Linked DNA regions of Tamandua tetradactyla. The protein of the gene in region 4 interacts with the protein of the main gene of each other region in a biochemical or structural test. Links are inferred from orthologs where the notes say so. Each region holds a gene or a part of one and is shown on either strand. Other genes may lie near its edges.

Evidence for each region. The genes of interacting proteins can lie anywhere in the genome.
Region 1: the proteins of DNM2 (region 4) and SH3GL2 interact in a biophysical measurement, tested with the Homo sapiens proteins (2 studies listed by BioGRID and IntAct, with this or other methods). The link is inferred for Tamandua tetradactyla from reciprocal best matches to the Homo sapiens genes DNM2 and SH3GL2.
Region 2: the proteins of DNM2 (region 4) and ITSN1 form a complex in vitro, tested with the Homo sapiens proteins (2 studies listed by BioGRID and IntAct, with this or other methods). The link is inferred for Tamandua tetradactyla from reciprocal best matches to the Homo sapiens genes DNM2 and ITSN1.
Region 3: the proteins of DNM2 (region 4) and SNX9 form a complex in vitro, tested with the Homo sapiens proteins (2 studies listed by BioGRID and IntAct, with this or other methods). The link is inferred for Tamandua tetradactyla from reciprocal best matches to the Homo sapiens genes DNM2 and SNX9.

The regions. Positions count from the first base shown.
Region 1 is NC_135328.1:79,631,774-79,638,637, forward strand, and holds the start of SH3GL2 (endophilin-A1), read right to left. Parts: upstream 3,016-6,864; 5' UTR 2,901-3,015; coding exon 2,856-2,900; intron 1-2,855. UniProt on the Homo sapiens protein: Implicated in synaptic vesicle endocytosis. May recruit other proteins to membranes with high curvature. Required for BDNF-dependent dendrite outgrowth.
Region 2 is NC_135336.1:94,021,246-94,028,386, reverse strand, and holds the start of ITSN1 (intersectin-1), read right to left. Parts: upstream 3,016-7,141; 5' UTR 2,627-3,015; intron 1-2,626. UniProt on the Homo sapiens protein: Adapter protein that provides a link between the endocytic membrane traffic and the actin assembly machinery. Acts as a guanine nucleotide exchange factor (GEF) for CDC42, and thereby stimulates actin nucleation mediated by WASL and the ARP2/3 complex.
Region 3 is NC_135328.1:150,460,073-150,467,362, reverse strand, and holds the start of SNX9 (sorting nexin-9), read right to left. Parts: upstream 3,016-7,290; 5' UTR 2,914-3,015; coding exon 2,902-2,913; intron 2,714-2,901; exon of another isoform or gene 843-2,713; coding exon of another isoform or gene 801-842; intron 1-800. UniProt on the Homo sapiens protein: Involved in endocytosis and intracellular vesicle trafficking, both during interphase and at the end of mitosis. Required for efficient progress through mitosis and cytokinesis. Required for normal formation of the cleavage furrow at the end of mitosis.
Region 4 is NC_135337.1:91,083,672-91,090,917, reverse strand, and holds the start of DNM2 (dynamin-2), read left to right. Parts: upstream 1-4,235; 5' UTR 4,236-4,250; coding exon 4,251-4,519; intron 4,520-7,246. UniProt on the Homo sapiens protein: Catalyzes the hydrolysis of GTP and utilizes this energy to mediate vesicle scission at plasma membrane during endocytosis and filament remodeling at many actin structures during organization of the actin cytoskeleton.

The sequences.
Region 1 (6,864 bases), on a different chromosome or scaffold from region 4:
CCAGGCTAAAAGGCCAATAAAATTTATTTGGTAAAAGCATATTTTCACCTCCAAATAGTAGAGATCTGGAAAATAATTATTAGCAACAAAGTAGGAATAATCACTTTAAATGAAAAGAGAACAGTTGTGACATGTCTTAATTAGAGATTTAAAATTAGTTATGCAAACACTGCAGGTATGCTGCTTTATTAATACAAATACCACCTCTCACTAACATAAGGAAATAACTCGTTAAGAGAAAGGTCTGCCTAATGAGGGGCTTCCACTTATAAATAGAGGCTCTAGTCGAACATGTCCAGTGTTTTCTTAAAAAATAAATGTCAATTCTCAGAAGAAAACAGTTTCAAGTCTTAAGGCCTCCTTTGCAGATGAAATGAGGTTTACGGAATTTCATACAAAAAGTGGCTACGAAAGTAGGACATAGACATTTCCCCTACTATCCCCATAATGTGCAAAAATTAGCACCGACTTTACACACCCTTCAAAATACAAATATACGCACACCAAAAGCAAACTTTGCCTTGGGCTTTCTAAGATTCTGCTACCCTAGGGTATGGACAAAAAAACTGTGCGTTCTTTCCCTTGAAAATGAAAAGTTTTTCAATAAAAAGAAAATGATGCAACTAACTCTGCATCTGATATGATAAATAATAATCCAATTCTATAACAAGCAAAGCTCCAAACATCTAAGAAGTTCTTTTGTAAGTCGATTCAAATTTTTATTCTAACTTTAAAGCTATACTTCAGAATTTAGCTGAATTTGAACCATTTGATTATTTCTGTTAAGTTAGCACAATAAAAATTCCTGTTTCAATAATTTCCTCATTATTTTCATTTTCTCATTAATAAAATAAAAAATCATATTTTATACTAATAAAATCACTTACTGTTAATAGCTATCATTTACTGAACACTTTTTATGTGTGGTCTATAAACTCTTTTATCCTTACATCAACTCAAGGAAATCCTCATTTCATCAATGACCAATTCAGAAGTTAAATAACTTGCTCAGTATCAGAGATAACCAAAGTGGGATTCAAACCTTAGCCTTTCCCACTCCAAAGCCAAGGTTCCTCATTACCTCTTTTTAGGCACCAAGCTTTGCAAAGGAAAACCATAGAATCAACATAAAGATGGATGTGGTGTTGGTAAATGCAGTGCTGAGGTTCATTTTAGAGAAGTGGCTGGTATCTGAAATAAAAAGTCAGTGACATCAAAGAAGCCTTGCCTAGGAATTTACAGGCAGCGTATATACTGTTTCTGTGCACCAGAAATAATTTTTTATTAGAGAAGTTGTAGTATTACAGAAAATGCATAAAATACAGAGTTCCCATAATACCTCACTATTATTAATACCTTGCATTAATGTGATACCTGTTACAATTCAAGAAAGATTTTTATAATTGTACTATAGGCCATCATTTACATTAGTGTTGACACCTGAAAGAATTTGAAGTATAAGGTTGTTAGAGGTCTCCCAAAATATAACAATGCTCTTACATTTAAAACATGTCTGACAGAGAGCTCACAGAAAGCTTCAATCTGAAAAGCAAAATAATTATGTTAATGGATATTTTCCCAATATAGTCTTATTTCCCAGATTTCCCAAACTGATGGATATAACGAGCTGATTCTACAAAGTCAAGCCTACTGTGACAGAGATGGCAGGCACACACGCACAAAAACACAAACCCAAGTTGACTTTCATGCATCTGTCACCCTAACTTAATCAAGGTTCTACAAAACTCATCCTCAACATTTCTGGACGTGCTTTATAATAGGGTTGCCATTGCCGCTGCCTGGGGAAAACCTCATTTCTTCTAAAAAAAATTATGGTAAAGCTAATAATGGCTAAGTTACAAAAAATACATAAGGTTAAATTGTGGGAAATATTTAAAGATAAAGTTCTTAACCAAAGGTCCCTTTGACTGAATTTGTTTCAGAAGAATAAGGAAAAAAAGGTAATCATACACATTATATAAGAAAGAGGTCACATCAAAAGCATTCACTTATAATTCCTAGGTAACATCCTTCATCTTAGCCCAATGAGTTTTAATAAACTTAGAACCTGAATTAAATAAATTTCATTACAATCACAGCTTATTAGCCCCACAGAGGAAAACAAGCACATTCAAGACGTAAAAAAACTCACTAATAACAATACTTTAAAAATACATCATTTTAAGACTTCAATAATCTTAATGCAAAACGCAGGGTAAATTGTAGTCAAGCACACTGCTGGTCAAGCTTGGGCCTCCAAGGAGTTTCACGACTGAGTTTTCCAGAGAGAAGTTAACACAAGAACTTGCCATTCCTCTGGAGACAGAAAACGACGTGGAAGGAGGGATTCAGGGACCTCTGGGGAAGAGCGCGGACCGCGGGCATCTCGGCAGCCGTCCTCAGTGCCGGGCAGTCGCCCACGCCAACACATCGCGGGGCAGCCGGGCGCACCCACACCGCAAGGTCAGTGGGAAACAGGCGACTTTACATAATCTCCCGCCGCGCCTCCGAGCACCTGCGCGCCGCGGCGGCGGGGTAACCGCGGCCCCCTCCCCTCCCCCGCGTGGCTGCGGGGGCGGCGCACCAAGGCGGTAGCCCGAGACCCCGCGGGCGCCCGCAGAGTCCCGCCAGGGTGGGGGTGGGGAGCAGGGGGAGGGGGAAGCGGGGGCGAGAAGGGCTCCTAGCCGCGGGATGTTCGGCGGCCACCGCCGCGGAGGGCACTGCGGACCGCGGCCGGAGCAGGCTCAGCGCCGGGCCGACGACGTCCCCACAGTTCCGCCAGGCGGCGAGCGCCGAGCGCGCCCTTCGCAGCTCCGCCCGGGACCGCCCCGCGACACACCTGTCAAGCGCCTTACCTGAGTGGCTTTGTGGAACTGCTTCTTGAGCCCGGCCACCGACATGGTGCGGGAGGACGTCCGCGCAGCTGCGGGAAGGAAACGGCGACGGTGGAACTAGGCAGGAAAGCCGAGCGGGGCGGCGCGCTCGCTGGGCCGCCGCTAGTCCGCCGCCGCCAGGGCTGTGGGCGCGGGGGCGCGGAGCGGCGCGGGACGCGGGCTCGTGCGGAGAGACACCCTGACGTCAGGGGCGGGTGATGCGGCTTCTTAAGGGGGACGCGGGAAGCCCCGCCCCGGGAGCGGGGTTGGGCGGGCAGGTGCTGCGGCTCTCGGTACCTGGGCCCTGGCGCCCGCCGCGGGGATCTGGGGTCGCGGGACCTGCGGGCCGACTGCGTGGTCAGAGGGCAGGGGACGCTGTTCTCCCGCCTTGGAGGATGGCGTTCGTCACCCCGCGGACGGTAGACAGGTAGCCGCAACTAGGCAGCGCAGGCAGAGATTCTTTTCAGTTCCTTGCTGGGCTTTCAGGTAGCCGCTGCGGCGCTGCCTGCCTCCTGCCCTCCTGCCCTTTGAACCTGGTCTCTGCAACCTGGAAAGGAGTGATAAGTCATTGCTCCTTCTCGCTTTGCCCCGCGGGATTGGTCACAGAAAAATTTCAATATCCCCTAAGCCTACATCCACGTGAAGGGAAATCACCAATGTCATCTTGGTATGAATCAATGTAATGACTTAAGAAACAATTTTAAAAACAACAACTGTAAAGCTGGCCAGGTAAATAGAATTGAATTGGGGTATTACTACAGTAATAACATTTAATCCTCTGTGTACAAAAATTTAAAAGCCTGAGTATAATCTTGCCGTCCTTGCAATTGTGGGAATGGATTTAGGGTTTTCAATCTAAAATAAGCAGTATATAATGTGGAAAAGCATGATACTATACTGTACAAATATATATGTAACAAAATATGTATGCCTGGGCAAAGCAAAACTGATGGAATTTCATGAATTGGGAGCGGAGAAGCACAAATACCTTTTGTGTTCTGGTAATTAACCCCTCTCTCTGTTTTTTTCTGGAACTAAGGAGCTTATAGGAAATCATTTTAATGCTGGCTCTATATGGATGTCCAACTAATAGAGAGGACAAGCCAGAGAGATGCTATAAAAGGGGACCCCTGAGAGAAATTGCCAAGGATGAGTAAGGAGATAACATAGCAGGCTAGGAGTCCTAGAAACACCATTAACTGCCTCCACAGCCCTTGCTGTATTGTAGGAAGCTCATATCTATCCAGAGCTACCTTCTACACACAGCTGCTTGAGCACAAGCCGGGCATCTGACACAAGGGCATCCTCTTCATTGCTGGGCTACCAGTCATAGTTCTTCTTGACACTGGAACCTGAAACTCATGAAGGCAGAGTCAAGCAGATAGTGGTGGATACTGGAGCAGTAAGAGCACGTGTACTCTTGACCCAGTTTGCAGAGAGAAGCAGAAGAAAGAAACAGATCTCAGGGTGGGTGGTAGCCTTTACTTACATGCATGTACCTTCCAAGTACATGAAACAATTGCACTTTCCAAATCCCTTCTGGTTAGGTTGGGCACTGTGACAGGTGTTGATTTGTGGGTTAGGAGGGAAAGTGACTGTCACTTCTTAGCAGGAAATTTATGAGAGCAGTCATAGTTCTCTTTTTCTCTGCAACAATATTCCAAATAGTTAACCAGTCTAGATAATCAAGATCCAGAGTGAGGATAAAGAAGGGCAGAGTACCCAGCTCATGCTCACTGGATATTTAGCATGAGTGAGGAAAATTAAAAAAAAAAACAAAACAACAAAGAAAAAACACTTGTAGTTTTAATCCACTGAGTCTAGGGTTATTAGGCATTGCTTCAAAATTAGTCTATCCTGACTGCTGCACTGAGAAAGAATACTTTTCCATAGGCAGTGGTGGGAGAATTTCCAGGTTCTCCCATGGCCTGGGTGTATCTTAATTTTTGTTCTTAGGTGTCCGTGGGGTTGCCAGTTTCATTCTTACAAAATGTCTCACTAAGTTTGGATAGATGCATTCTCTTTCCTGCAGCCAAGGATACCCTCAATGAAGTGGTGGGCAGACTCAGCCCCAGGGCCTGAGTATCAGGAGGAGTTGAGGCACAAGGTACATGAGCTGACGGTACCTTGACCCCTTAGCCCACATTTTCCTTACTGGCTGCACAAGAATAGTAAGCTCTGGCAATCCACAAGGAATTCTAAGGGAGTATCAGGGCAAGGGATGATCTGGTCCAGAGAAACTCTAGACAGGGAAAGATTTAAGTCCTTCCTGTAGACAGGTGGAGTTACTGATCATTGAAATCCCAGACAAACTTAAGGTGACCTTGCTGAGGCCCAAGAGATGATATGCCTAGGGAACATATACTTACATATATAAATAAGATTCACCTTGGTGATTCTTAGATTCTTGACATTAGTAAACACAGCAAGACTTGGTCTAACTACATAGATAAGTAGGTGGTGCTCTCAGCTAGAGATTTGAGGGTTACTCTTATGATGGCTGTATTAGTACTCTACATGTTGGTGAGGACTGCCTACATTCACACACACACACTCCTTAAATAGGCTACCAAGAAATGCCAAATTGCCAAAAGTGATTGAGCTAATAGAGCAGTAGTTTTCAAACTTGAGAGTACATCAGAATTCCTTGGAGGGCTTGTCAAAGTGTGCTGGGTCACTTCCCCAGAGTTTCTGATTCATTATGTCTAGTGTGGGCCCAAGAATTTACCTTTTTAACAAGTTCCAAGATGATGCTGATACTCTAGTCTGGAAACCACACTTGGAGAACCACTCAGGGAAAGTAGGGATCTTAAGAGTGAATTTTTGCTGTTTTCTCCCCCCCCCCCCCCCAAATCCTTAAAGGTTTTCCCATTACTTGCATAATAGAAAAAATATTTTATAGTTAATTTTTCCTAAATGGTCCCAGATCTGTATAATGGAACATATTCATAAAAGGGTCGGCCTAAGTTAGAGCTGCCCAGAATAAAGCAATTCAAAAGTGGAGGAGCCTGGGATTTATGAACTCTGGTCTTTAACTGTGGAAAGTTTGAAATGGGGATCTGCAGAGTCTCCCCAGACTGAATACTGACCTGGAAACTAAATTAAAGACAAGTCTCTGTCTTTCCCTGTTTCTTCATCCACAAACTTAGAAGTCTTATCCTGTTATACTTCAAAGAAGCTACCCTAGGAGAAGGGACTAATTAAAGCCTTTAAATCCTTTTGAAACCCTGCCTAACTCTCCAAAGTATCCTCTGGATCTCATCTAATTCCAGTATTTCTATGGAAGACACAATTTATAATTAATACGTACCTTTGAGATGTTATCTTTGAAAGAGATTTATTAAGCTCCTCCGACTGGCAGTCATCACAGTAGGAGGTGTTGGAGGATGGTAAGGGAACACCCCAAGATATATAGACAGGACGTTGAACCATAAGAAGTTTCCAGAGCTGTAATTGTGGACACCTTTCTTACGGACATTTATTGTGACTTAAATACTGAGGAACAAATGCACCAGACAATAAAAATTCCTAAACATGGGTGCTCTTTTCTTTGATTGCAAAGAAGCTGTGACAGAGGCTCTAAGGAGAAATCCAAAAGTACAATATGGGGAAAGGAAATCAAAGGTCAATGAGGAAGAAATTTGTTTGATAAAGGTTGTTGTAATTCAATACACTGCCATATAATCTTTTTAGATAAAAATCAATGGACAATAAACCTAGATCCACTCAAGAAAGCCCTAATTAAATGAAACTCCTATACAGCACTGCCTCACTAACTGGACAGTAAATTCATGGTCAGCAGTAATTCCATCACATCATTCATGCACTACTTCTCCTTGCATTATGCCAGATCTTCTGGCAAATACCAGACTTCTAGTTTGCACAGAGATACTGCATCCTGGCACTTCTCTGAGGGTCCTGAGTTCCTAGAAGACAGGAAATACACCAGCCTTAAGCTTTCTGCCCCTCAATCCCTGCCACCACTTCTCTG
Region 2 (7,141 bases), on a different chromosome or scaffold from region 4:
AAACCTTGGTTTTACTGTGATGTCCGTCCTTCACTCCTTTCTTTACTCAACAGGAATTTAAATGAGTTACTCCAGGCACTCTGCTAGGAAGCAGAGATACTTGGTGAGCCAGACAGTCTCTGACCTTCCGAAAGGTGTATTACAGGAACACTACCAAGATGGCAATCACAGTCAAAAGGTTTCTACTCGCAGCCTAAGGTATATAACTTATTCTGGCACGTTATACACTTCAGAACATGGTTCTAAGTGTCCTAAAAAACCAAATAAAATTTAGGAGGTGTTCAGTGAGGATGGGATGCAACGCCAATAGCTCTCCAACTTCACCATACAAGAAAAATTCCTGGAGAACTTGTTGAAAATACTGATTCCAGGGCCCTACTCCCAGGTAGGCTGATTCTGAGCTCAGGACAGAAACCTGTTTTGTTTTAACACATACCTGAGTTAACGCTGAGGTAAGTAAGCTGAGAGGTCCAGACACTGAGAAATTCAAACAGTTAAGTGAGTAAGAAGGGATTGATCATTTAGAAGAAACAAAAAGCTTAAGAAAGCTCTACAATAGTGGAATGTGAGCTGTCCTCAGTAATATAATGTTCTATAATTCACAAATTTAGTAAATTAAGAAGACAGGTAAGAGTAGAGGAATTTACCAGCACCTCCTCCTTAATCTCTTACAGATTTGAGTTTCTCAAACTAAGCATCTGGGGAAACAGTAAGCTTAGCAGAAATCTACCAATATTAGAGATAAGTATTAAGAAAAAGGAAATTCCTAGTGAACTGCAAAAAAAAAAAATGCTGAGTGACAAACATTTCATGGAACTAACTTATTAGTACTCATTTTATGCCCTATTTCACAATGCTTAGTATCTGAACAATCCACAGGGTTCCAAAGTACATTAAAAATGTGTTCATTTCCTCTTACTCAGGCAGAATGATAATAGAGTCTTGTGAAGGTACCACGTGCCTTAGCAATTTCTATCAGAAATGCCCATTCCTGGAGCTACTTAAAGGAATTTGAAATAATTTTAATGCCATCACCAAATTAGTGTCCCTCATTTATTAACTTAGATTACTTTAAAATTCCTGGGTTCTTTGCAAACCTTCATGCAGAAAGAGTTCTTCAATACTTAAAAAAAAAAAGTTTTTATTTATAAGCAATCACCCATCGAAACAACCTAAATATTTCAAGTAAAAAAAAAATTAAACATAGTATTTGTTCTCAGAGATGGAATAATTTTGAGATGCCTTTAAGCTTCTGCACTATCAACTTTAAAGTCATCTAAAAATAAAAACCCAACAAATACATTTACCATTATTTTAGGGGTTAAGAGTAGCACCACGCAAAGCAGTTGACCTGCTGGGACCCTGGCCCACTTCTAGCCCTCAGACCCTGTCCTCTACAAAACCCATAATAAGATCTCTGAGCCTGTTTCTTCATAGGTTCAACCGGATTAGTAAAACTGCCTCCCTGCTACATCTTCCAGATGGCATGTGTTTGTTATTGTACTTGTTTTTTATTATCTGTAGCTTTTATTATACTTGCTTTTAAATCAATACTTTTTGACCACGAAAGTAGTAAGAGCAGGATGCCAACAGATGGGCACAAAGAAACGCAAGTCTGCATACATTTAAATTTTCAGGTGGATGCTGCTTTCAGAATAGCACCGATGACGGCAAAGTTTTTAAGAAAACTTTCATATTTGAGGCAATCAAAAATCTCCACCGCCTCATACTCAATTACAGAAACCGCTAATCTATTTCTTCAAAAGCAAAGCTTTCTTCAGCGTCTGAATCACGACAAAAGATGCCCGTAGGAAATGCAATCTACGAAGTTATCTTCTCATCCAAAGACAGAGCGAAGGAAGGTACAGCCTCTTCCTCGTTGGTTTCCTTTTCCTGGGGACTCTAATTACATTTCCTCGTTTAGTTCAGGCAAGAAAAGACCGCAGTCGTGCCTTAGAGGTCACACCATAAGACCCTGTCTGTGCGTAAAGGAGGGAAGGCGAAGTGGCACTGGAAAGGGAGCTGATTTTGGTTAAATACCATCAGTCAGCCCAGGCAGGGAGGCTTGGGGCCAAACGGCATTGACTGCCCTTCAATGACAGGGATTCTGCAGGCGCACGAGGCAGGAGGAGAAGGCATGAGCCGACGGCGCGAGGCCGGAGAGGCGGTGAGAGAGGCGGGCAGCAAGATACCGTTCCCCGTGCGTCCCGCTTCCCCGGGAGGCTGGCGGGGAGGTGAGGCTCCGCCAACCCGCCACACTCCGGCGGCCGAGGGCAGCGAGGTCAGCCCTGGAAGGACCCACCGCCCCCGACGCCCCTCAAGGACGGAGGTCGCTCGCCGGCCAGGGCTGAGGGCGCCCACTCCCCGCGAAGTCCGTCCCGCGGCCGCCACCCCCACGGGTCCCCGGCGCCGGTCAGCCGGCCGCCCCGCCGCGGCCCCAGGGAGGACCGGGAAGAACTAGGCGGAGCACGGCCGGCGCCGCACCTCCCCAGCGCGCGGCAGAGGGCGAAGGGTGGCCGGCAGGAACGCGCGCCGGCCGTGGGTAGGGCGCCCCGGGCGGCCATCGCGCCGACCCCCGCCGCCGCCTCCCGCGGTCCAGGCCGCCGCAGTCCAGCCCGCTCCTCACCTCATCTCCAGGCGGGTCCGCGCTGCCGCCCTGGGGACAAATCAGTGCAGCTCACCCGCAGCGCGGATGGACTCAGGAGCCACAACCCCGCACAACATCCCCGCCCGCCCGCCTGCCGATCCGTGCGTCCCGGAGCCCGCACGGGATTCTCCCTAGCGAGCCGCCGTACTACGGAGCAACCAAGCTGCGATCCCTCCTCCCTTCGCTCCTCTGCTCCTCTCCCTCCTTTGCTCCTTCGCTCCTTCGCTCCCTCCCTCGCCCCCGCCTATCTCTTCTTCTCCGTCGGCCTCACCCCCCCACCTATCTACCCACCCACATCTCCGCCCATAGGTGGGCGGGGACATCTAGCCTACCAATCATAAGAAGGGGTCCTCCCCTCTTCACGCTCCCTATCGCTAGCCCCGCCCGCCACGGGAGCGAAAGGTGGGGGAGCCGGGAAACTGGAAAAGGTAGGAGCGACAGCCGAATAAACCAATCAGCATTCTCAAATGGGGCGGGCGTAGGATTCTCTTTCGTCCCGCCCCCTCCACGAAGGCGTAACTGGAGGCTTCTGGTCCGGGCATTTACTGTCGACATTTATGGAGATTTTTGTGCTTCTGTCCGTTGCCGTTCGAAACACTAGATAGGGTGTATCCAACTAACTTAATTACAGAAGGCTTTAAAGGGGAGAAAATTATGGCGACAAAAGGGAGGCAAGGCACAATTTGAGGAAGGCTCTAGGAGATACGATTGGAATGAGGAAGGGTGTGGTCTTTCGATTTAAATTTGCATAAAATGGAACTCGTTGAGGCGACCACAACTCACGAGCTGAGCATACCGGGAATTGTAGTTCCCAGTTCGGTTGCTAGGGCGTTCTGGACAGCCTTCGGGAGTCCGGCTCAGCCCCGTAGGAGTGACGAACGAGGTGGCCAATAGGAACAGCGCCTTGGTCCAAAGGTGCGGCCTGTCTGCGAAAGCCCTGGAAGGTGGCTGTGGCGAAGGCGCAGGCGGTTGGGGCGGCTTAGAGGCAGGTGAGTCCCGGGAAACGCTCTGTGTCGGCTTGGAAATCGGGGTTTTGGTAAAAGGTCGAGAGGCGCAGCGCGGAACCGTCAGCTCCGGGAGGACGGTGATTCACGTCGCGGCCCAGCCTCAGACCCGCTTACGTCCAGGCCTAGCTAATAAGCTAAGGCCGCAGAGGGGCGGGTAGGGCTTGATTGATTTCACGGGCAATTTCCTGGCCCTTCACAGGTTACTAATTGCAGGTTTTATTTCACTTTGCATTTCCCTCCCCTCTTCTGGACGCAGAGGCCTGGATGTTCCATTTGTCTCGCAGATTGGATGTTTCCCCTCTATTTTTTTTGTTCATTTAATTTTTCTTTTCTTTTTTTTCCCCCCCGCCCCTACTGCTTCTCTCCCTCCGCTTGCTCTCTTATTCGCTAAACAGTTACCAGAGCGTATTTCCATTTATGTGGTTAAAAGGCCGCCCTTGCCCACTTCTTTAAGGTAAACAGCTGATGCTTAAAAATCGCCGGAGGACCTTGTTAAGGTACAAGTACTGGTTCTGTAGGTCGGGAGCGGATCCGAGAGTCTGCTTTTCTACCAAGCGCCCAGGGGCCGCCGTTCCACATTAGGTTCTCCATCAGTTTTGTCCAGTACAGATAGATATAATGCGAGCCACTTAGGTAATTTTAAATTTTCTAGTGGCCACATTAAAAAAAAAAGTATAAAGAAACACATGAAATAAATTTTAATAATATATTATTCATTTAAGTCAACATGCCCAAAATACAATTTCAACTCGTAATCGATGTTAAAACTTATTGAGATGTTTTGCTTTAATTTACTTTCCTACTAAGTCTTAAAAATCCGGTGTATCTTTTACACTTAACAGCACGTCTCAATTCCAGTTGAACACATTTCAGGTGTTCAGTAGCCAGCCACGTGTGGCTATTGACTACTGTGATTGGATAGCAGAGGTGCAGATGATATAATAGCAACTGAAAAGGTCAGGTTGCACTTGACCAAACCCTTTGCTGATGAGATGGATGGGTTCAGAACTACCTTGAGGTTCTCTGCCCAATTTACAGAAATAATAGTGAAATAACGAACATTTATTGAATGCTTATTTTATGCCAGGTATTGTACTGAGGGCCTTGCATGTATTGTGTAATGCACACAGCAACCCACTGAGGTAACTACTATTATTATTCCTTTTTATACATGGGGAAACTAGGGCCCAACAAGATTAAAAGAAGGTAGCCTAGGGTCAAATCTAGTTAGTAGGGGAGCCAGGATTCAAACTTCAGTCATTTAATAATTTCTTCATCCTATCTACCTACCCCTGCAGTATATAATTATTACCTTTTGCTGCTAATCTTACTTCATTGCTCTAGCTTATTATGGGAGGGATTCAGATGTTTGTATTTTCAGTGGAGTGGACTCCCCCCTACAAAATCAAGCTGCCTGTCAGGTGCAGTGAAATATTTTGGTAGTTTCACAACTTTGCATGCTGTGCATTTGAAAGCAAAGTTAGTTGCTTGGGCCCCTGGCCCAGGAATGAGTCTTGATTAATTTGTGTATCGCCTTGAAGAAGGAGGTGGGGCCGCTGAACCTGGGAATTCTAAAAATGCTCTTAATGGAATCACAGTGATTTTATTTTTGAACTCTGTTCTTTTAAAAATTGGTTAAAAAGTAAATTTCTTGTCCTTAGCCTGTGATCTTCATGAAGACTATTTTCAGAGACATTAGAAAAGTTATTTGTGCTCTTTCTAGACCCAGTGAACAGTACTCCCTTGAACTAAGAGTTTTTTGAGTAGAGGAGCAAGAATAGACACATGTATCCACCCATAATAAACTACAGTATTTTGCAAAATAATTTTCTATTTTTTATACATTATAATAAATGATACATCTTCTATGGAATTATTTTCTGTTGATTTTGCAGTTATTGTGAATATTCAACTGAACGTAAATCATATTTTGCACCTGAAGCAAGATTTGTTTCCGCAATATTTTATTGTGAATTGGAAAATTAAATAATACAGTCTGCTGTAATGTTAGCAGCTGAAGGGAGAGAAGTTTGGTGACAAATAGGAAGGATCCCTCAATTGCTTGTCACCCTCAACACCACCACACTCCACCTATAATGTCCCTGTGTTACATGAGTAAAACAGAAAGAGAAAACTGTCCCTCCTACTGTCATTCCCCAATGATAGCATACGGGAATATATGGTACTGAGTAATGTAATGTAAGAGAAAGTTAAGTTTCTGTTGTTCTGGATCATAAAATGTTAAATGGCCCTACAGTGAACACTAGTAACCTGACCATTTTATGATTACAAACTGGATAAAAGGACCATCCCACCACCTCTCCACCCACCTCCGATTGCACCGCATCCCCAGAGCTGCTGGCAGGAGAGTGCCTCATGTAAGAAATCCTAGATTCCAAGTGAAAATGTGTTTTATACATGAACAGATAATAAAAGTAAAAACAGTTATTGTGGGGAAGGGATTAAAGTCATGAATTTTCTGCTATTTTTAAGGGGCCACTAAGTACATGCTGGGAACCGCCATTGCACAGAGAAAAAGAATTTGACATCCTTTCTAAGCAGTTGCCTGTTTTCCTTCTGCCTAAAGCTCATATCAAAAAGAATATTTTTCCTTTTCTGCTTTTTCACCCTTTCATCCATTTTTGTATCAGGTTGCATAAAAATATAGGTTATGCCACATGTGTATCCATTCAGTCAAATATATCTTAATGTTCATAAGAACCTAGATTGCCATAATTAGAAGAGACCTTAATGGTCCTCTCAGCACCCTCTCCCCCTCAACTGATGCTTGAATCCCCTTTAAGAAGCCTCCATAAGTGCTTACCCAGGCTCTGTTTAAGTCCTTCCTGAAATAGACCACTCTAGAGTTCAGTTAGATACAAGCGAGACAGGGTCCCCTGTGCCATTTTGTAACAGCAGTGCAATTGTATGCAGCAAAACAATATCACCTTGGGTCACTGCTTGTACAGTCTCCTTAGAGTTTACAGATTTCTAAAGACAGAAAAGTTTCCTACACCAGGCTCAGAAGTTTTCCGGCAGTTAAGACTATTCCCCTCCCTCTTTGATTTAAGTAACAGAGTTGGCATATCTAGTTAGGGTGACCATTCTCTACAGCCTGCAAAGTGTTACTTGAACCAAACCTCCTCTTTGTTGATTTTGATTATGCTGACCATATTTTTTAACCAAATATTTGGACAGATATCTTTTTCTGATTTGTGGATATATATGAAAAATCTCACAGGTTAATTAAAACATTGTTCAAACTTAATATTGTCACCTCTTCCCAAGTGATCAAAATATAAGTGAAAATTTCACCCTAAAACTCTAACGAGTATCATGCTGTTCACCAGTCCTAAGGTGGGATGGGGAATAGAGCATTGGAGATGCAGCTGGCCAGAGCCTGAACTGATGACCTGAGTGGATGGGGTAACATTTCGGAGTTAACTCCGTTTGTTTTTCTGTAGCTTATTTGCTTGACATTTTAATT
Region 3 (7,290 bases), on a different chromosome or scaffold from region 4:
GAGTGCAGAAGAAGGGACTGAGGCAAGAAAACTCAACACTCATTCTTGTAATAACCGTCTATCAAGAGACTCCTCTGTGCCAGTCACTGAAAATTCAAAGGTAAGCAGAGTGCCAGCCAGCCTCCTGGGGCTTACAGTATCCTAAAGGAGAAAGCCATTACCATAGAAAAATTGTAAAACTGCAGTCAAGACAAGATCTTTAAGATGAAGTACAGGAATTATGTGAAACCAGCTAGGGGTCAGGGTGGTCAGTAAAGTCAGGAACTTTAAGTGCACACCATATGATTGAGTTGAAATATTAACCGTCTAAGGTTTCTAATAGACGTTAAGACTAAAACACACTCATTAGCCTTTCACCATACTTGTTAAAAGAGACATGATTGGACTCAGAGTGGTATTCACGGAATTCACCATTCCCCAGAATAAGGATTAAGAGCAAAGAAACAAAGAGCAGATAACTTGTAAAATATGCAGTAAATGATTAACTTTCTTCAGCAGTAAAGAATTGCCCAATTGAAATTTTTATCTCCTTTTTACTATTGTGAATCTACCAGTGGAGTTTTTAAAAATTCTGACAGTTTAAAGATAATTGTATCTTCAAGAAAACACATAAAAACAATAAATAAGAAAATTATATCTGAAAAGAACAGAAATAATTCTCTGGGAAAAAGTCAAAGGGAAACCCAGCACTAATATATCCAGATGTTGAATTTATATGTTCTCACTTAATGCCTGTGTAGCCGAAGCCTAAGTGCCAAATGAACCTAAAATTTTGTCAAAAGTTAATCATTACTACTTACCAGGCATATCCTCTCCAGCCATAACCCCACTCCCACCCCCATTAAAGAATGAGAAGGGAAAAAACCCGAACTCCTCCAACGTGGGGGCCCCCAAACACGACTTCACTCTCAGGCGCTGAAAAATGGGACTTTGTTTTGACACAAGAATCACCAGGAAGTAGGAAAACCAGAAAACTGAGGAAGGATCCTTTTTTAATAAGCGCCTTTCTTTTCAAACCTACAATATACATATTTGCTGTTCTTTTTCTTAGAATGGAAATGGTTTGTCACATGCAGATGAGAGTGATTAGGGCGGTAAAAGAAACTAGAGCCAGAATTACTGTAATTTGCCTTAGGAGTACTGTAGATAATAAAGCAGGAAGTGTTGATTCAAGTTTTAAGGCTTCTATTTCATGAGTACACACGCAATTCAAATTTAGTTACAAGAATCAGTGTTCTTTTCAATGGTGCTCAAACTTAAAATTCAGGCTCAAGTATAAAATAAAATTTTCATTATGTATACCTGCAATAGTTGCTAAGCTGGATTCCACTTAAAAGGAAGTTCACGTAACATGCATCAGATCAGTCAGTGTGGAAAATACCACAACATTATGACCACCACCGAATAGATCTGTCATAACCAGAGCTTATAAAGTGGCAAGATGAGTGTTAAAGAGGATGTGTAACTAGTAATTTCTGGAATGTTTGATAACAGACCTCAAAGGCAAATCCTTAGAAATCCTAAACTCGAGTTAAGTTTTGCCTTTATACAGGTCAACACGAAATTAATGAGTCAAAAACATAGTAAGTCCTATCACATCTATTAAGACCGAGGAACAAAAGTAGTCGGTAATACATTAACAAGATAATTATTTTAGTTACAACAGACAGCACGTTTGCTGGTGGTGAATATTCATCTTTCTATATATTCCTACAGGAATCCAGAACACGAAATTTAACAGACTGGTATGAAATCAGACAATTCTGATTCCTCAAAGAGATGTCAAATATTTTATCACTTTTCTAAGTATACCTCTCCCCCAAATAAAACCCAAACCAAAAAAAAAGAGGCTTTTACCAATTACAGAAGGAGTTTAAGAGATTTCAAAAGGAATACCGAAAGCGTGCTGATTTTATAGCTGACATTATAACAACAATCTGCAAAAGTAAATCCATTCTCCATACTAGTCACGTTCAATATCTCACCTACCTAGGAGCCTTCTACCCTAAGTCCTCATTCAGGGAAAATGGCTTTACCTGCCATATTTGCCCATCAAGAAATTACTGAAAAACAACCCCAAGAATCGGGAGCCAGGGGAGGGTGGCTTTTGTTGACTCAGTTGTAAAAATGCGACTACTAATTTCACAAATACACTAAAATAAGCAAACTAATACCCATGGTCAATTAGCAAGCGCAAGTCAAAGTTCCACCACGTAATTCGGGCCTGGGCCTTTTTTCACGCAAATGCGTTATCAAAAGCCCAGTCATTTCCCTCTATGTTTTATTCATGTTGGAAAGACCATTCAAACTGAAAATGTAGCCAAACAAAAGAAAATTAAAACACAAAAACAAAAACAAAAGGGCGTTGAAGTACGGAGTGTTTCATTTTAGTGTTTCCTCCCAGGTAGCAAGCTTTCCCAGGCCTGAGAGTAAAATAGCAACTCCCCGCTGCGCGGCTTCGGGGACCCCCGACCCCCCACCTCCGCCCCTCGTGCTGCGGGTCCCACTCTTGGGGCAGGGAGATGAAACGCGCTCCTCTCCGCTTCTGCCTGCGAAATAGCGCGACGGGGAAGTGAAATTGTTAAGTCCCACGACTGAGCCGTGCGCCGAGGGAACTGCCCGGGCTCGGGAATTCTCCAGTCCTCCTTCCCTCAGCGCTGCCCGCCCGGCCCGAAACACCCGCAGACGGAAACTTTGCGAAGGACGACGCGCTAGGGCCGGGGCGACCCGGACCCTCCTCAGCTTGGGTCCCGCCTGCGCCCCTGCTGCGCGCCCGGAGCGGACCCCGCGCGCACCCCTACTCCGCAACCCCGCCCGCCCGCCCCGCGGAACCGAGCCGTGGCGCGGCCTCTCTGTCTCCCCCGCGGTCCCCGACCCAAACCCGCGCCTCGCTCCCCTCACCTTAGTGGCCATGGCGGGCGGGTCTCCCGGCCCGGGACGGCCCGGCTTTTCTCCCGCGTCGCGGTTGCGCGGCCCTTGCCAGACAGGCGAGGACGGCGGCGGCTCCGGCTGGGCCCCGACGCGGCGCGGGCGGCGGCTCTGCCTCGGCCGGGAGTCTTGACGCTCAGGCCCCGCCGCTCGGTGACTCCGGCCGCCGCCCGCTCCGGCAGATCCTGAAACGCCGCGGCTGTCGGTTCACCGCGGTGCGGCGCAGCGCGGTCGGCGGAAGCGCGCCCGGTGCCCTCAGCTGCGGCCCGGCCTCCTCGCCCACTTTTCCGCCCCCGCCCGGAGCCTCCCCGCCCCGGCGGCCGCCGCCGCCGCCGCTTCGGGCGCCCTTTGTTCGGGCCCCCGGGGGCCGCTTCCCCGACTCGGGGCTGGGGTGGGCGGTGCAGGCCGCGGGCCCTGCCCGCGCTCCGCATGATCGCCACGCATTGAACGTGGCGTAGAGTAAACGTGGTGTAGTAAAGATGTGCTTTGGCGTCTCGACCCTGGCCAATGGAGCCAGGAACAGACCTTGAGTCACACCCGGGTGGGTTTAAGGTGGACGTGAGCGAGGCAGGAGTGTTGCCATAATAACCACATAAGCCCCCCAGGGCAGGGTGGGAGTTACCCCGGGTCTTTGTTCCGGGTCGGCATTGCTCTGGGGTCGGTAGTGCTCAGAGCTGAGTAAAATGAATGCTAAGTAAACAGCTAGGGAGGAGAAGGGCAATGGCTACCTTGAGGAGTGGCCCTGATAGGAAGTTCTTCCTCCAGCCTGGAGTTTTACCGCAGGTTCTGGTCCCCTTTAGAGTTTCTAGGCCGAGACACTTGGGGATTGCATTGTGAGATGGCCCATTAACTTCCTTCTTGGTAAATTAAAAACTGTCTAAGCACCCCCAGGGGTTTTGGAGGGACACAACAGGTTACCTGAAGGTCTTATAAAGTTTTCCGTTTTCTAGGGGGAGAGTCAAAATGGTTTTCTTCGGAGTTGGATTCACTCAAGTACAGAACACATGACTGAAAAATAAATCTTGATTGGAATAATACATTCTTCTAATCTGAAATATTTTGTTTTCATTATCAGGGGTATATATGATAAAATCAACTTTATTAGGCTAGGAAAGCAATATTTAGAGTTACTGTCAAATGTGTGTCCTCTTGAGAATATTCTATTTAACCTCCAGAGGAGATTCCATTTAGTTATAGTAAATAATGGGGTTTTAAATGTGTATAGTGCTACAGAATTTTCAGTGGAATTTGTGTTTGCTGAGCTCAGGGCCAAAGTTGTAGTTATGGTAATGTTCATAAATGGAGACTAACATTCATGAAAAGCTTCCTTGCTATAGCTAGGCTTTTATATGCCTTAATCTCATTTAATGCTTATAGGGAACTATTGAGCAAGTCATCGTTCACTACTAACATATATGAGGAAGAAATCAAGCCTCAGTTAGAGAGCTTGCCCTTTCTGATTATACCTGTCAAAATAGAAAATGACCATAACCTTGGATCCAGCAATTCTACATCTAGGAATTTATCCTCCCATCAAACTTGCACAAGTGAGCAAGATAATGAACTAAACATTGTTGTGTAATAATCCCAAATAGAAAGCAACATATATGTTTGTTAATAAGAGTGCATTAATATGACTCATCCACACAAATGAGGTACAAGAACAGCCCTTAACAGTATTTTAAGGGTGTTAATAAAGGTAAAAAGAACATTATACATAGTATAATCCATTTGTATAAAAACATGGATGTTGTTTATGCCTAGAAAATTTCTGAAAAGATTCATAAGATGCTATTAGTTGTCAGAATGTTACCATGTATATGGATTACTTTACACTGAAAACAAATTTACATTTGAATAAACAAATATATAGCTTAACTAAGCACATACTAATATATGGCAAAGTCAGGATGTGAACTCAGATGATATTGTGAGTAATGACTACCGTTGTCTTTTTTTGTTGTTATTTTTGTTTGTTTGCTTCTTTTTTTTTTTTTTTTACCATAGTCCTTTAAATTTGAAAGCAGGATACAACTCCCTGTAGCAGTTCTACAATGCATGTTTTGATAGCAAAGTATAACCTCAGTGTGCCATGAATGTAGACCTTTCAGCATGCTCAATTGGGAGGTCTGGGCACCTGCCACCAAGAAAGCAGGAAGACCAGAGCGTCCAAGCTTTTCCCACTTGAACGTTTTCTATAGACCTGACTTCATTCTTAGAAGAAACCACGGATATCCCAAACTCATGATGACCGATGCAAATTAATGCACATATTAAAATAAGATTGAAATCACTCCCAGTATTACTGAGGTAGTAAAACCACCTAGGCATCGTTTTAGAGGTTCCAGAAGTACAGTCATTGCTGTCGTCTTTGGATGAACTTGCTCTCAAAGCCCATCTCACAGCTTCTGGAGCCCTCTGCTTCAACCTCATTGACCTCTCATTCCTCCTGAGCAACGTGCTTCCTTGCACAGAGAGGACCAAGACAGATTTCACAGACATTCAGCCTGTGCAGTCGCACAGAATCCTGTGCTTAGATGATTCCTGGCTTCGTTTAATGCCGCCTTTCACTATCTTCCATATCTTAATAGTTAAGTAAAATAAAATGCATTGTGCACTGCGTGAGGAACCCCTGCAGGAGCTTTCCAAAAAATGAAACAATGGAGTGCACCCTACAGAACTGCAGATAAGCAACACCTGCTGAGAAAAACAGGTCCAGGAGAGAGAGCTTACAATCTGATAAGTATTGACAAATATACTATGCTAATCAATGCATATCTGTACCCCCTTTGTGAGACCACCCAATATAAAATGGAAACTTAACATCAGCCAATCAGAACATATCCCCACTTGCTTCCACCTTTTGCTCTGTATAAGCTCCACCTTTCTACCTCTTAGGGGAACTCATTCCCTTCTTTCTGGATGAGATGCTGCCTGATTCATAAATCGTTCAATAAATCCATGAGATCCTAAATTTAATGTTGTTGTAAAGTTTTTCTTTTATCATAGGCTTTGAACAAGGGGCCTCACATTTCATTTTGCACTGGGCCCCAAAAATCATATAACAGATCCTGGCAAGGGCATTATACTGTTTCTTTGTTTGAACTAGTCCCCCTCTTCCTACCCTGTCCCCCACCCCCACCTCCCATTTATCCTTTAGAATGTGGCTAAAGTGTCAGCAGTTACCTCAGTTACTCAGGGAAATCATACCCGATCTCAGTATAAGTTAACTTCTTATATAGTTAACTTATAAGAAGGATATAAGGTACATAGTACTGGTTTCCTTGTAGTTGGAAACTTATCTCAGTTTGTAATTCAAGTGATTATTTGCCTGTCTCCTCCACCAGACTGTAAGTTTAAGAGAAGAGGATCCGTGTCAGTTCTCTTACCATGGTATCTCCAAACTCTAGGACAACACTCACAGCAAATCACCACTGAGTATTTGTTAAATGAATGAATAAATGAATAAGAGGAGTTGAGCAATCACAAATTAAGCAATATAGCATTGCCAAAATATACTCTCAAGGAACTCACATGATTCTGTGGAACACAGTTTTAAATCTACTGTCTATATTATTACCTAATTTAGTATGAAACATTGCACAAGTTTTTCCAAGTTTCACTACTCAATATTTTTTTTTTAATTCTCGATAGAAGCGATACTCTATGAAATTTTATAAAGCAAATTGATTTTGGCAATGTATATGAAAATGTAATTGCTACATTTTACTAATATTTCCTGGACAACTAGTGCCCAATATATTATTAAAAATGCAGTAAATAGAGGTTTTAACTCTTTTCACAATCCCTTCAGTATGGCTTATCATTGAGGTACGCATGTTTCTCTCTGGTGTACTTGCCAGTTGTTGGTTGGCATTTGTCTTGGATGTAATTGCCAAATTACATTATAATAAAGGTCCAATCCCCCCAATTATAGGCACAGAAACGAGGTCAAGGAGGTTCAGTGATTTACCCAAGGCCACATATTAATCCAGGGCAGGGACAAGAGCCCACTCTGTATCATGGGTCTCCAAAACATGTCATTTTCAAACTAAAAATATTTTAGGTGAGAGGTTTTGAAGCAAGGTGCAAGAAGGCCTCAAGAGATCACTGTCAAAACGGGAGAAGGGCTCTGGTCTAAACTATGCTGGGAGCTACTACTCAGTTTCACCTGTCTGCACTGAAAGAACAGAAGCCTAACATCTTTTCATCACATCCCACAATGTTCAGCTGCCTGGTGGAGCAGTGGCTTCTCCAAACTAGAAAGTAGTCATCATGCTGATGTTCCAGTTTGCTAAAGTTGCTGGAATAGAATATACCAGAAATGGATTGGCTTTCTTTTTTTAATTTTTTTATTAATTT
Region 4 (7,246 bases):
ATTTAAAATTACTTTGCCAGGTCTGCCAGGAAAGGCTGTGCCATGGTCATTCCCTGTGGTGCTGGGGGAAGGGTCCCCATCCTGCGGCAGGGGGGCCCTGCACCGACTGCAGCCAGGAATTTGCACCATGGGCTGGGCTTCACCCAACTCCTACTTCAGTCCCGGTGGCAGTCCGGCAGGCTGGGCACACACATCACCCCCACTTGGCAGGCGGAGACACTGAGAGGTAAGTGATGGCCCTTGACCACATTGCCAGGCTGCGGCCGAGCTTTCAGGCTGCAGACTCTGCTCTCTCCCACGACCTGCTCACCGAGCTGTCCCCAGGAGGGAACTAGAACAGCTTCCTGCCTTCAGAGTCCTGCACTGGGTTTCAAAGGCTGAAGCCGGAAAGGGGTTCCTTCCCATCTTTGTTCTGGCCGGGTGTCGTGGTGACCAGGGGTGGGGCCTGGTAGGCGGGTACCAGAACAAGGATGCTTGGGTTGGCAGCTACGTTCACCAACTCGCCACGCCACACCACGCTGGCCTGGCAAGTCCAGGTTGCCCTCCTGCCCGCGGATGCTCTGGGGGAGCAGGTGTGGGGCTGCTGTGAGCTGTGGCCTTGGTTGGGTGACTTAGCCTCTCCAGCCTCAATTTCCCCACCTGACAAGTGGGGTGGGAGAGGGTGAAACGAGAACCTGTGCACCTGCTGTGTACCAGGCACTGTGCTGAGGGCCTGGGAGCTCCTGAGAGATGGGAGTGTAGGTGCCAGGGTGAGAAAAATGGGAACGGAGCCTGCCTGTGTGTGTCTGGGGGGGTGTGTGCTTCGCAGGCATTGGGCCTGGGGGTGTGTTCTAGAAGGTCCGTTGAACCCATGGGTGCCATGTTGGCCCCTGAAAGAATGGTCTGGGACAGGGAGTCTCCATGCAGGGACCCCGGATGCAGAAACGGCCGGCTCAGTGCAGCAAAGAGGCCAGGGTGGAGGAGGGCGTGAGCGTGGGGCTGGGATGGAGGGGAGGCAGAGTGGCCAGGGCTTCTCGGGCCACTGGAAGAAGATGAACTTGTGTTTGACTGTGTTGGAAGCCTGGGGTGGGTTTGAGGCAGGAGTGTGGTATGATCTGGCTTGCACTTTGCAAAGACCTCCCTGGCTCTGGGTGGAGAACCTCTGTGCAGGGCCAGGAGACCGGGTGGTGGTTGCCATCGCCCGCGAGACTTGGCCTAAGAGGGTTGGGATGGAGCAGGGGGAACGGGTGGGCACAGAGGATTCACTGAGAGAGATGGGCTGTAGGGCTTAAGGAAAGGGGGGGGCAGCCTCGGGAGGTAGGTCTGTCCTGCCTCACGAAACACTGTGGGCCGTTCCACCTGGAAGTCCTTTGTGAAGTGGCACCCATTCCCCCAGGAGAGGCTCTGGGAAGGAGGGGGAGGGTGGGAGGGCATGTTAGGCTCCAGAAGCCAGCGTCTTCTCTGCTGTTTTTGAAGGAAGGGCTTATGTTGGAAGGCACTTTTGTTGTTACCCTGGTGACCAGATGGTTCTAGAATGCTGGGGGAAGAGGAGGCACCCCCTGGCTTTCTGTCCCATGTCCTGCATGTTTATGGACTTTCTCGGGGTGGTGATGGTCCCTGACTCATACCCAGAGTTGGGAATGCTTGTGTGGCCATCCGTGGTTCAGTGAGCACTCGCTATGTCCCAGGCGCTGTCTCCTCCCATCCTCACTGCACCCCATTTACAGATGAGAAAACCGAGGCCCACAGTGATATGAGGCCCTGTCCCCAGGTGCATACCGCTGGTGATGGCAGGCCATCTGCTGCAGGGTGGAGCAGACAGGAAAAGCTGCCGGCAAGGAGGAGAATTCTAGGGGACCCAGAGGGTCCCAGAATGCAGGCGGTTTCCCATTCCACTTTGAAAACGCAGTTGGGCTGACCCAGTTGCTTTGGAACTTCTTGGTACAAGTGGGAAGTTACCAAAAAAATCACAAGATAAATATTTGCTTGTTACAAAAGACTGAAATTCAAATCACATGGAAGATTATAAAACTGAAAGTGATATTGACCCCTTTCCCACTTTTACTCCACGGACAACCGCCCTCCAGGGCTTAGAGTATCACCTCGGAGCCTTTTCCGTGCAGGGCAGAAGGCGTGCACATGCATGAAACCCCCCCAGACTGAAGGACACGGTCCATTCTGTGCTTGGCATTTTGCTTTTGGCAGCATGACTTGGATCGCTGCCCAGGCTGGTTCCAGTGTTTATTGAGCCCACTTGCTGCCGATGGACATTTAGGTCACAAACAGATTTTCGTCTGGAAAGTCCAGCCACGAGGAAGGGCAGTCTTTGCCAATACAATCAGTGTGTTCCAGTGCGGAGCCCCCCCACATGGGATGGATTGCCCCGGCCCCCTGCCCTTGGGTTGCTGATATTGTAGTCGGAGATGACAGGTAGAGAGGCAGTGACCCAGTGAAATCCCAGCTAGTGGGCAGCATTGGGTGGAGAAACTGCGGCCAGCAGGCCTCTCTGAGGAGGTGACACTGAGTTGAGTGGGCTTGGGGACAGTTGTTCCAGGCTGTCTGTCCCCTCTGCAGGGGAACAATACCTGCAAAGACCCCGAGCCAGGAGGGGTTTGACCTCCTTGCTGTTCCTGGACCACCAGGGCTGCTGGGGGAGAGTGAGGAGGGGGAGAGGCCCAGGGCAGAAGGTGGTGGGGTAGACTTTGGAGCCTGCGAGTGTTGTGAGCAGGGGAGGGACAGGGCCTGACTCACATCTTATTGAGTTTTGCTTTGATTTCTGAGGGGTGAATGCGTTATATTGGGCGCTGAGGTAAGAACTTTGGAAAGCCTTCCGACTACTCTAAGGCGGATGGCATTGTCCCATTTAACAGATGCAGAAGCTGAGGTCGGAGCTGTGATCTGGGCCAGCCCAGATGATCCTAGAAAGGGAATGGCGGGACCTGGGTTCCATCTGGAGTGTGGAGGGCCCCAGAGCCATAGCCATTCATTGCCATAGGCTACATCCTTCTTTGCTCCTCCTGGCTGAGACAGGAGCTCAAGGGCGGGGCTCTCTGTGGAGGGATTCCTGTGCAGGGAGGAACCCATAGGTGTGGGGGTACGGGGGTGGAGCAGTGTCACAAGTGCAAATGGGACAGCCCAGTGGGCCCTGACCTGCACTCTGATGGGGAGTGGGGGTGGGGGCAGGGCCAGACCTTAGCTCCGTGAAAAATGAATCAGCTGGAAGATGCCAGTTAGGAAGATGTCACTTGAGACGGGTGGTAGTGAGGGAGGGTGTTTCATATTGGGGGTAGGGAGGAGGCAGCCGGTCATGCAGATGCTGCAGGAAGAGGGTTCCATCCTGAGGGTACCGCTGTGCAAAGGCCCTGAGGTAGGACTTTGCTTGGTGTTTGCGGAGCCTGGTGTGGTGAGACTGGAGGGAGTGAGAATTGGGGAGAGTGAGAGGAGGGGACGGGGCAGGTAGAGCAGCACATGATGGGCTTTTGCTCCAGATGAGATGGGAGAAATGGAGGGTTCTCAGCAGGGGAGGCCCGCCCCCCCCCCCCCTCAGGGCTTCACAGGTACTCGCTAGCTGCTGTGGGGCTGGGTGCCTGGGAGCTATGACTGTGTGGGTCCAGGCAAGCGATGATGGCAGCGATGGGGCCTGGGCTTTGGGTGATGGCTTTGTTTGTGGGGACAGTAGGCAGTTCAGGCTTGGTTTGCAGGTGGAACAGCAGGACCTGCTGTGGCTGGGGTGAGGGGTGGGAGGCACCCTGGGTCTCCAGCCTGTGTCAGGTTGTGCCCATCCTGCCTGCGCCTGGGTGGCCACGAGGGTGGGAGATGCTTGTCCTGGAGCTGCTGGACCCTAAGGCCTGGATTCCTGCAGAAAGGTGCTGGGAGGGTTGGGGTCTCAGGGGTGCATGACTGGAAGACCAGGCTCAGGAGGCTGAGCTTTGACCGCTACTCCTGTTCTAGCAAAACCAGAAAGGAGGCCCCTGGGGAGGCGGCGGGGGGAGTCAGCCTCGCTGATATCTCACCCATGTTCTCATCCCAGCTCTGTCCCTTCCCTACGAGTTTCCTGGGGAGGCCCTGGCCCTCTGAGCCTGGTTGACCCATCTGTGAAATGGGGCGGGGGGGGCGGCGTGTGATCCTGGCATCACCCCCTTGGGATTGCTTGAGGATTTCCTGCGCCATTGCCCAGTAAGGGGTTAGAACCCGGCCAGGTGGGCGGCCTGTGCCCTGAGTGGACTTCTCCCGTGGCTGTAGCTGTGCAGAGAGCAGAGCAGGCCATAGTAATGCCCCGTTATGCCCCCTCCCCCGGGCCCCAGCCCAGCCCCTTGGCTGGGTGTGTCCCACTGACTCATTCCTGGTTTCCTTATCTGTTTGTTTTCCCTCTCCTGGAAAGGGCATCCCCACCCTCCTGGGGACTAGAAGTCAAAGGCTCTTCGTGGGGCTTTGCCCTCTGTTCCACACAGCAACTAGACAGCCTCTGCTCTGCCTGCGGTGCCCCCTCCTGGCCGTCCTGGCCTCCCAGCAGGGAGAGCAGACCCATTTTACAGAGCAGGTAAGCTGAGGCTCCGAGAGGGCAACATAGCCCTCACCGGGTCACCCAGCCAGCTGGGCTCCCTGCAGGGATGGGCAGCGTCCTCCTGTCCCTCAGGCAGAGGTGGCAGAGCTGGTCTTGACCTGGCTGCCTGATTCCTGAGCCTGTGTTCATCCTGCTCATGCCCCAGCCACCTCCTGAGCACCTGCTACCTGCCAGCCTCGTCCTGGGAGCTGGGAATCCAGCCATGCCTGTCCCCAGGTGAGGGCCCATTGGAGGCCCTGCTGGTGGGCGTGGGGAAGGGGCCTGCACTTGGGAGAGAGGACTGCAATCCACTATATCTGTGCCTGAGCAGAGACAGGCAGGGCCTGTGGGGAAGGGTTTCCTGGCAGTGGGAAGAGCCCCTGCAAAGGCTTAGAGGCCAGAAGGAGGGCACAGAGACGTAGGGGGCAGGGGGCAGGATTGTGGGTGGTGTGGGCAGGGTGGGGCTGAGGATGAGGGAAGTGGTCAGAGCATGACTGGTCGTGTGGCCTTGTGGGGGCGGGCTGAGGGAAGAGACCTGGAGGCAAGGAGGCTGGGCCTTTTGGTTCAGAAAATAATGTGGAAGGAATCCTCCAGGCTGAAATGATTATAGTGAACACTTACTGAGTGCCTGCTGTGTGCTTGGCCTGTGTTCTGGGTCCTAGTACCCAAATGGGGGGGCGGGGTGCAGACAAGAGCATGCTCGTGCTGCGGAGGGAGTGGAGGGCAGAGAGGGGATTAGAACTGGGACCAGTCCAAGCAGCCCTCTGCCCACTGGGTCTGCCCTTCCTCACCTCCACAGGAGGTGGAGTGGCCCTGTCTGGTGCCCCAGAAACAGACAGGAGAGGCAGAGAGGCCAGCCAAGGTCGTGGAGCCAAGAGGCTGCCCTCTCAGGCAACCTGGCTGCTGTTTGGAAGGAGGTGAGGGGCTGGCCACTCCTGTCCCAGGAGGGTCCTAGGTAACCTCTGGGGCTGGGGGGCAGGGAAGAGGAAGCAGATGGCCAAGGCCTGACCGTGGCCTCCAGATAAGTGGACAGTCAGGGTTCTAGGCAGAGCTGCTTGGGGGGCAGCTTCCTCCCACGCCGGAAGCCCCAGGGTGCGCGCTCTTCTGCCCAGGCCTCTCTGGGCCCCTCGGTCCAGCTGTCCCCTCAGCTCCCCTCCCTGCCGCCACCCCCAGCCCCCCCAGACGGCCTCTCCTGCCTGGCCCCAGCGCTCTCTGGCTTTTCTTGGGCACCACCCGCATGCTTCTGGTCCTCCAAGGCTCCGATTGTCTGTTGTTCTTTGCTGGACTTTGGTGACTTCTGTGGCATCACCATTGTCCCCACGGTGCCTGGCACCACGGCCGGGCCCAGAGCAGTCACAGTGCAGCCCGTGCAGACGCCGGCTGTGCAAAGCCTCGTTGGTCTGGACAGCAGCCCGCGTCTCCCACCCAGCTGCTGGTGGCCCGAGGGGTCAGGTCCGGGGCCTCAGCTGCCCCCGGGAGATGGAGTTAACATCCGGGTCCTGGGGATTTTCGTCAAGGCCAAATGGGCCGACCCGCAGAAGGTTCTCTGCCCTGGGCCTGGCCCAGCGTGTGCTCCCTAGCTGTTGGTTGTGCTTTTTAATGTCATTTTATCTTTTCTTCTTTTGCTTTCGCTATTCTTTTTTAAAGTAATGTTTTGGACTCAGTAATCCACATGCATGCCGCAGAAAGATGTTTGAGAATGTGCAGTGAATCTCCGAGACCCGCATTGACAGGCTTTCGAGTTCTTCACACCTGAGCTGTTATTATTGGGTAACTAATAAGATTATAATCCATGGACAGATTTAACAGTGTGTTCATTTTTTATATTTTTATCTCCACAAGCATGTCCTCCTGAATTTGTTAGCGTTTGTGACCTTCTATTAAGAGTTTAACTTAGATGCAGTAAATCTCATAAATCTGAAGTACACACCTTGGTGGTGGTGGTGTTTTATGAATGAATTCTCATAACTACCAGACAGATCAAGGTAGAGAACTGTCATTGCGGAAAGTTTCCTTTGCGGTCATTTCCCCCAGGGGATCCGCTGCTCTGATTTCTATCACCTTAGACTAGTTTTGCCTGTTAAAGTCTGAGGCCACCCACCATGACTCAGCAAGAGAAACAAGGGCACATGGCCCTAGAAGGGTGCACGCAGGCATGTTCACAGCAGCTTCATTGGTAATGCCCAGAGCAGACAAGCTCAATAAAGCAGGGGCCCCCATGTGATGGACCCCAGTACCTGGCAGGGCACTTGGGACACAGATGCCATCTGGAGGGAGCAAGTGAAGCTGCCTTGGGCCAAGTAACGGTGCCCACCTCCTCGTTGTCTCCGCTGCAGGGACCCCCCATTCTCCAGATTGCCTGCGACTTGTGCCGCCTTGGTCCGTTTCTTCCTAACCCCCATGCCTGCTCACTGCCACAGTGCCTTCTTGGCTCCTCCTGCCCCGTTGCGCCCATCACACTGTGTGCGTCTGTGTCCCCAGTACCTCCACCCAGTCTGGAGGGAACGAGTGTGTGACCGTAGTCTGCCAAATGGGAATGATGGGCCAACTCCGAGTGTCAGCGTCAGATGCAGCACTTGTACCCTGAGCTCTCGGGAGCACACATGACCCGTTGCACTCGGGGTATGGGGGTCTGGCTGTGCCGCCCCTTGGGGCTTGCGTGGATTCTCCAGGCTGTCTCTGCCTTTGCTCAGTTCCTCTCCCGGTCTTCTCCTTCTGGTCCTC